Linked DNA regions of Macaca fascicularis. The protein of the gene in region 2 purifies or fractionates together with the protein of the main gene of each other region. This does not show direct contact. Links are inferred from orthologs where the notes say so. Each region holds a gene or a part of one and is shown on either strand. Other genes may lie near its edges.

Region 1 (3,807 bases), on a different chromosome or scaffold from region 2:
GCTGCTAGGTGTCACCAGAGGGAAGCAGTTACAGAAGAAAAACGGCTGAGGCAGTCCCAGCCACACTGACCTCCAAGTCCTGCCAGCTACGACATAGCAGAGGTCACTCCAGGGAAAGGCTTTGCTTTGCTGAAAGTAAGTGGCTGGGATGCTTAAACACAACCTTAAGAGAGAACTATGGCCAGGTGCAGCGGCTCAAGCCTGTAAACCCAGCACTTTGGGAGGGTGGGTATATCACCTGAGGTTAGGAGTTCGAGACCAGCCTGGCCAACATGGTGAAGCCCCATCTCTACAAAAATACAAAAAACTAGCCGGACGTAGTGGCACACGCCTGTAATCCCAGCTACTCGGGAGGCTGAAGAAGGAGAATCACTTGAACCCGGGATGCAGAGGCTACAGTGGGCTGAGATCGCACCATTGCACTCCAGCCTAGGCAACAGGGCAAGATTCCATCTCGAAAAAAAAAGAGAGAGGGAGAGCTATATTTGAGACCTTTTCTCAAAAAAAAAAAAAAAAAAAAAAAGGAGTAAAGGCAAAGAGGTAGATTCCACTCAGTATCAGAGAGCCCTGAATGGCAGGCAAAGATGTCACCCAGCAAAGGGTTCTGAGCAGGGAAGTGACAGCTTTAGACAGCTCCAATGGTGCCCAGTGCTATGGGCTATCCAATATTTAAACACGTTTTCAGACATGCACTACAAGACACTGCCAACTAAATATGAACGCTGACTGTGTTAGGTGTGTTGAGTTGGTGGTGACTGCCACACAAATGGAAATGTCCAGCAGCAGCTTGGGAGAGAGGCCAGGCCTAGACACACACATTGAGAAATCATCTCCCTGGAGGGGACTGACTTAAGCTGTGAGAGGTGAAGCAGGTCCCCAGGGGTGAGAGGAAGAGACAGAGCCCAGGGACCAAGTCCTAAGTGAATGACCACATTGAGGAAACGGAATGAGAATTTTCCAGAAAGGTTAGGGTAGAATATAACACTTGCAGAGAGGTCCAGCAAAATGGAACCTGAGAAGAGTCCAAAGGATTGGGAAGAAATGAGGGCACAGATTAAGCAGAGGAGGGGAAAAAATTAGAGGAGTTTACGGTGAGGATGCAAGTTTGAAAATGAAAGGGAATAAACAGCATGACTCCTAAGGGAGCCCACAGGAGCAGATCACCGCTTCTGAAACAGGGAGACCTCTGGCAGGTGCAGGAGGAAGACTGCGTTGGGAGGGGCGGGGGGTTGGGGAAACAAGATCACAGGTTGGTGGTGGGAGTGAGTTTGAGAAATGAGGAAGAGTGTCTCTTATTTCCCACAGGAACAAAGAAAAGATGTAGGGGGAGGGGAGAAGACATCAAGGTACAGTAGGAACTGGGGGTGAGCTCAGGTCTGATGGCCATGATTTTCTCAGATTTCTAAGAAAGACAAAATGATAGCCAACATGAACATTTCCTAAGGCCGGGGGTCCGTACCCTGGAGTGAGCCATTCTAAGATAAATGCAGGCTGGGTTCTTTTTGTAAATGGGACTATAGCAGATATGTACTGAAACAGGGCTACTGCTAAATTGTTGAGACGGAATGCATATGTGAACTAGAGAAATATACTCTGCTCCAAGATATCTGTGGTTTGCAGACATTGCTAAGTGATTCCTATTTCGCAATTTTAATACAGTCTCATAACAGCACTTTATCTGGCTGAAACTGCCTTTTTCTTCAAATACATGTTTGCTCAGCTATATATTTTGCTACATAAATTAGATATTAATTTGCAAAGCACTTGAGATCTACCTAATTATAGTAAATTTGTTTCTGCTTTATCTCAACAAAAGCTCCAAACAATACCCTATAGAGACCTTGGAAGAAGAATTAGAAAACAAACAGAAGAAAAGCTATTGTTTCATGAATAGTCCCTGTTTGCCTCATACCTGCACATTTCAGAGTGAAGACCTGCACATTCAAGCTCTGGTAAATTACTTCTACTGCCACCTCTTGCAAATGTACCTCAGATAGGCCACACATTTTGAGGAATTCTGGACTGCTATGCAGACGGGCCCATCATGTGAAAAACGGGCTAGATACTAATACCTGCCATTGGTTAAAAACAGCAGGTATATTATACGCTTTGAATTCCTTTGCTTCTTGGTGGAGCTTCATGTATCTAGACTCTTCACTATGAAAAGTAACAGAGGTAAAATGGACAATCCAATGAATTCAGGTGGAGTTTTAGATTTTTTTTTTTCTTTTTTAAAGACAGAATCTTGCTGTCACCCAGGCTGGAGTACAATGGTACAGTCTAGGCTCACTGCAACCTCTGCTTTCCGGTTCAAGCAATTCTCCTGCCTCAGCCTCCCGAGTAGCTGGGACTACAGGCGCGTGCCACCACACCCGGCTAATTTTCGTACTTTTAGTAGAGATGGGGTTTCACCACGTTGGCCAGGCTAGTCTCGGCCTCCTGACCTCGTGATCCGCCCGCCTCAGCCTCCCAAAGTGCTGGGATTACAGGTGTGAGCCACCATGGCCAGCTATATGTTCTTTCGCAAACTTATCTTCATTTAAATCAAACTCACATCCCATCAGCATGTAAACTGTTTCAAGAATGGGAAAATAGGATTCTAAATCCTAAAGGATGAGCAAACTGGTGCTACTACCACCCGAGGTTGGTGAGTGCTACTTCAGCCCACAGCTGTCTCTTTTTAGGCCCGAGAAAAAGTATTAGGAACTAAGTAATTTAAGAAGGACTTTTAATGACTGAAGCCCAACAGATTTAAGTTCTTTTGTCTCTAGGTAAACTATGCACCCTCTTACCTTTAATTTTCTGCTTGTATTCTTCTGGTCGGTGGAGGTACATGGCTGCAGCGTCACCATTGAGAGGATCTATGGGGTTAGGATAGGCCAACAACTGGGGCAGGAAGGACTCAAATATATTGGTAAGATCTGAAAAACCAAACAGAAACATGTCATGCACAGGAAATACAAGTTCACCTAAAATTCACCTGCATTCAGTAGTCAAGCTGCTTACCTTCTTAGATATTTAACTACATGGGGATGATTCTCCATACAAGTGTGCTCTAGTACATGTGACCTGTATTACACATTCATTTCAATACCAATTAAAATTTTTAATTTTAATTTGAAGAACGAGATAAAGATATACCTGATACTCACTTTGAAAGACAATTTTCCCAATTCTATTTCACTCTATTTCTATGGCTATTTCACATAGCCATTTTCTACAGCTTACAAAACCCCCCACTGTGAAAGGTATTCAAATGCTGGGTCTTAAAAGAATTGAAGATAGTTTTTTTTGTTTGGTTTGGTTTTGTTTTTTCGCTCTGTTGCCCAGGCTAGAGTGCAGTGGTGCAATCCCGGCTCACTACAACCTCTGCCTCCAGGTTCAAGAGATTCTCCTGCCTCAGCCTTCCAAGTAGCTGGCACTACAGGCACCTGCCACCACGCCTGGCTAATTTTTGTATTTTTAGTAGAGATGGGGTTTCACCATGTTGGCCAGGATGGTCTCGAACTCCTGACTTCAAGTGATCTGCCAGCCTCGGCCTTCCAAAGTGCTGGGATTACAGGTGTGAACCACTGTGCTCAGCCTTGAACATAATTTTATAGGACTTGACATTTAATTCAATTCTTGCAACTTCTAATGGAGGTAAATACAACCAATTTTTCAACTATTCTGGGTAATGAGGATAGGAATTACATGGACCACATAAAACCACAAATATTCATAAGACAGATAAGCACCAATCTACTACATTTATTTATTTAAAAAAGATTTTTTTGAGAGAGGATCTCACTCTGTTGCCCAAGTTGG
Region 2 (4,329 bases):
TAAACTTTGGTGCACAGAAGGTCATATAAAACCTTAGTAACACATTTACCTAATATCAGACACTGTCACCTAAAATGAAATCAAACCAGAAATACACAGCATCTAAGTGCTTAGATTTCATGTTTATATTACACCTCCATTCTTTTTTCAAAAATAATATACTAAAGAAAATACACATTTTGAAAAAGAAGGCTGTGAAACAGACCTTTCTTATGTCAACTCAGAGCCCTCAAAATAAAGATATTTGGACAAAAATATTAGAGGTGTTTTAGCAATCCTTCCCATAGTAGCTAACACTGTATGTGCCCAATATGTATCTGTTGAGTGAGTAACATGCTTACATTTATATGAAATGGAAACTTCACTCCTCTGGTTGTGGATACTTAGAATCGCTAACTTCTCTTGAGAGCAAAAGAAAAATAACACCAAATGTACTATTTACAAGTCATACACTACGAAGCACTTTAGTTAAATATTTCCAATTAGCAAGAAACTCTAAAACAAATGTAGCAATTCATAAATGTAAGGTAGCAACATAAGTTTTTACAGTAAAACATACACAAGTACAATATTTTTAAAGGCAAACTGGAATTCAGACGAGTTCCCAGAAAGCACACTCTCTTTCGGCAGCATATTGTTGACACCACCTTACTAAATTAAACCCCGAGACAGAAACATTCTCCTGACCAAAACACCAGAACTCCAAAGGAGATAAAGGCACATGAGTAATATGATATGAGTAAGCACTACAGTATTCGTCCTTTTTTAAATTATAAGTTTCTATTCTAGTAATAAGGGACCCAAAAACTAATAACGTAAAGAATAAAAAAGCTTAACAAAATTATACGTAACTCTACATTGTAAACGTATTACCTAGGAAAAACTGCATTTCATTTTCTGTAATAAAACTTGAGAGAGGAGTTTTTGGTGCAGTAATGCATGCTCTTGTAACAACTTACAGTCCCAAATAGCTAAAGAAGTTGTCAGGAAGTTACAATGAACTTCAGTGAATCAGTCATTAAGCTGGATAAAAATAATCACTTCTCAACTTCTTCAAAAACACTCACACCATGCAAACACGATCGATCCTGATACTGTTTCGCCCTTCCCCCTACGCAGCTTGGGGAAGAAAAATACAAAAACGATGCTTTTAGGCATTTTAAACAACTTCACTACATTGAGAGTGTGTTTTTTTCAAAAAGCCAGCATGGTTTTCTGTCATTTCCACTACGCTGAAAAGGACATATAGACATCCATCGAAATTAAAAGCAGGGAAAGCGGACTTACACTTTTCCCCAGATGCTAAGTGACTGCAGTGACTAAGGTCATGGTCAAAATTCACAGCTCATTTAAACTTTCCTGGCTGAGCCAACAGCTCCGATCATGTTTCCTGATCCTATCTAAGTGGATTAAAACTGCAGGAGTTTCTCGCTGTCAGATCAGCAGGAGGCTATTTCAGACCCTCAAACCGCAGTCCGCATAGCCCGCAGCGGCGCATCCTCCAACCCCGACTGTGCGTGACGCTAACCTTTCCACGCGTTCTTCTCTAGCCTTTCCCACACCCCCCACAGCGGCTGCGCCCAACTCGGGACCCCCTCCGCCCGCGCCCTCCGGGACCCCCGCCTGCTGTCCCTGCCCCGGCCGCCCTTCTGCAGTAGGCGACTTCTGCCCGACTCCTCAAAGTGGGGGGAGGCGACGAAGGGAGGAAGACTCCCCGCCAAGGGCTCTCCAGCCCGCACAGCGGCAGGGCGATGCGGGAGAAGCGCAGGGATGCCGCCCGACGCCAGAGCCATATTTACATCGGCTGCTGCTTTGCCAAAAGGCCGACTTGTGCCCAGTAATATTGCCTTTAAAGGAAAAAGAAAGGACCTAAGCACTAAAGCTGCTGCCCCAAATCTGCTCGCGCTCCGGTATCCTCGCCCCAGTGTCCCAGTGGGAGGTTCGCACGCGCCCAGCCCGGGACAGGTACACCTGCCCGCCGGCGGAGGACGCGGGCGCCGCGCCGCCCCCACACCGGGCAGCGGTCGCCGGGACCCGGCCCCCAGCAGCTCCCGCCCGGGCTGACAGCCGAGGCGGCGCCATGCCCCGCACAAACTTCCCACCTCCCAGGCAGCGGGGACCGACCCGCAGGCGGGCGGACTGTGGGGGGCACTGGCACCCACCGTGAGATCCACGTGCACACGGGACCCCCGTCCCGCACCTGGCCCTAGATCTAAAGGGGACGCAAGTGGTGCCTGGGCGGCCCGGAGGGCTGGGGGCAGACGCCGCGGGGCTGGGGGCTCCGAGGCAGGCGAACAGCCGGAGGGCCGGGGCTGGCTCCGGCTCCCCGCCCCGCAGCAGCTGCAGCCGGAGGAGGAGGGGAACGAGGAGGAAGAGGAGGAGGAGGAGGAAGGGGACCGCGCGCCGCAGCCGAGCCCTTACCGAGTGGTTTACTCCCCACATCAGGACGCTGAGCAGCGGGTCGCTGGCCCGAAACAGCTTCACTTTCTGCGCTACGAAGTGCTTCTTCTTGGTCTTGGTCTTGCTCGCCAGGACGGAGGACCCTAGGTTGCCAGGGGTCGCCATGGCCGCCTCCTATGTCCCCTCCACCGCCGCGCTCCCGAGGCCGGGGACCCGCCCTCTCTACACCCCGGCCCGGGGAGGCAGCCGCATCCCCCCGGCGGCGGCCCCGGCGCGCCGCGCTCCGCTCCGCCCGCCGCCGCTGCCGGCGCGCTCGGCCCCGCTCGGCTCGCTCCGCCCGCTCGGCCCGGCAGGCTGCGCTCGGCTCGCGCCCCGGCCCGTATCCCGCGCCCGCCGCGGCTCCGCGCTCAGCCCGCGGCTGGACCCGGCGCGCCGCGAGCGGCTTCCGCGTTGGGCGCCGGCGTCATGACGCAGGGGGCGGGCGGGCGGGAGGTGGCTGCGGCGCCGCGGGCGGGGCACTGGGTGCGGGGCGCGGGGCGCGGGGCGCGGCAGCTGGACCGTTAGGCTGTGCCCTCCCGCCCCGGCTTCGCTGCAGCCGGACCGCCGCCTGTGCGCGGGCGAGCTCCGGGCGTTCGCTCCCGGCCCGCGGAGGAGGCCGCGGGTTACGAGCGGGGAACCTGGGGACCCCGGCCGGGCGTCCCCTGCCGCTCCCCGAGGAGGGAGAGGACAGGGTGGACAGAGTGAGGAGGTTGGGCAGAGGAGCCCCCAGGTGTCGATCAGCTGAAGGAGGGAGGCTCACGCGCTCACCCACGCCACGAGTCAGGAGACCCAGCCAGGTGTGAAATGCTACAGGAGACTAGGGCTTCCCAGCACCGAGGGGAAGGACCGGGGCACGTTGCCGGGTCAGTCCCTGAAATGAACTTAATACCTTTGTGCCATTAACGGTCTGGCCTTTCAGACCCTCGATATGGGCCTCCTGGAATCATTCAAGAGGGAGACTCCCACCTAATAGGCTGGGCTGTCACTGCCAACCCACTCCGTGCCCGGGGCAGGACCCTGGGACCCTCATTGAGAGTCATTGGCTTAACCAGGAGAATCATGCCCTAAAGTGCACCTTCTTCCGATCCATCACTATGGTCCTTGCCATCCCTGCCTGTTTTCCAGTGCACTGACCGTCCATGGAAATCTTCACCGTCTTCCTCCAGATACACCTAAATGTAGCCCTTATTATGCTGAGAATACCTGGCCTACCTCAGGAAGCTGCCATTCCAAGTATGTCTAAAACCCTGCTGCCCCCATATCGTCCCTGCAGTCGTCATTCTGTGCTATGTATTTACTCTGACACAGGCCTCCAGTCCTCACTGAATAGGTTCTTGGAAACTGTCACCTTAAGCAAAACACCATATAACAAAACCAAATTTGCCATAGGCTGACATAAAAAAGAAAGCTTCCTAGAGCTTTCTTTCTGGTCACAAAAACATCACCGAACTTCGAAGTAAAGACTCAAAACACTTCTAATATTAAACATTAAAATAAATGTGAGCTATACCTCTTTTTTATTTTTATTTTTTCCCTTGAGATAGGGTCTCGCTGTGTCACTCAGGCTGGGGGTGCAGTGGTGCAATCACAGCTCACTGCAGGCTCCACTTCCCCAGACTCAGGTGATTCTGCCACCTCAGACTCCCCAGTAGTTGGGACTACAGGTGTGCACCACCGAGCCTGGATAAACTCTTTGTATTTTTGGTAGAGATGGGTTTTCACTGTGCTGCCCAGGCTGGTCTTGAACTCCTGGGCTTCAGGGATCTGCCCACCTCAGCCTAAAGTGCTGGGAATACAGGCACCAGCCACTGCACCTGGCCCACCTACATTTTTAAAAGATTGATAAAAACAAGATAATGGTTTGCCAAATTTCTGGTGAGTCAGTGAGCG

The links.
Region 1: the proteins of PIP4K2A (region 2) and UBE2H purify together in Homo sapiens (affinity purification with mass spectrometry; 3 studies listed by BioGRID and IntAct, with this or other methods). This does not show direct contact. The link is inferred for Macaca fascicularis from reciprocal best matches to the Homo sapiens genes PIP4K2A and UBE2H.

The regions. Positions count from the first base shown.
Region 1 is NC_088377.1:171,337,430-171,341,236, forward strand, and holds part of UBE2H (ubiquitin-conjugating enzyme E2 H), read right to left. Parts: intron 2,922-3,807; coding exon 2,793-2,921; intron 1-2,792. UniProt on the Homo sapiens protein: Accepts ubiquitin from the E1 complex and catalyzes its covalent attachment to other proteins. E2 ubiquitin conjugating enzyme that transfers ubiquitin to MAEA, a core component of the CTLH E3 ubiquitin-protein ligase complex.
Region 2 is NC_088383.1:23,508,673-23,513,001, forward strand, and holds the start of PIP4K2A (phosphatidylinositol 5-phosphate 4-kinase type-2 alpha), read right to left. Parts: upstream 2,848-4,329; 5' UTR 2,566-2,847; coding exon 2,422-2,565; intron 2,356-2,421; exon of another isoform or gene 2,163-2,355; intron 1,520-2,162; exon of another isoform or gene 1,288-1,519; intron 1-1,287. UniProt on the Homo sapiens protein: Catalyzes the phosphorylation of phosphatidylinositol 5-phosphate (PtdIns5P) on the fourth hydroxyl of the myo-inositol ring, to form phosphatidylinositol 4,5-bisphosphate (PtdIns(4,5)P2). Has both ATP- and GTP-dependent kinase activities.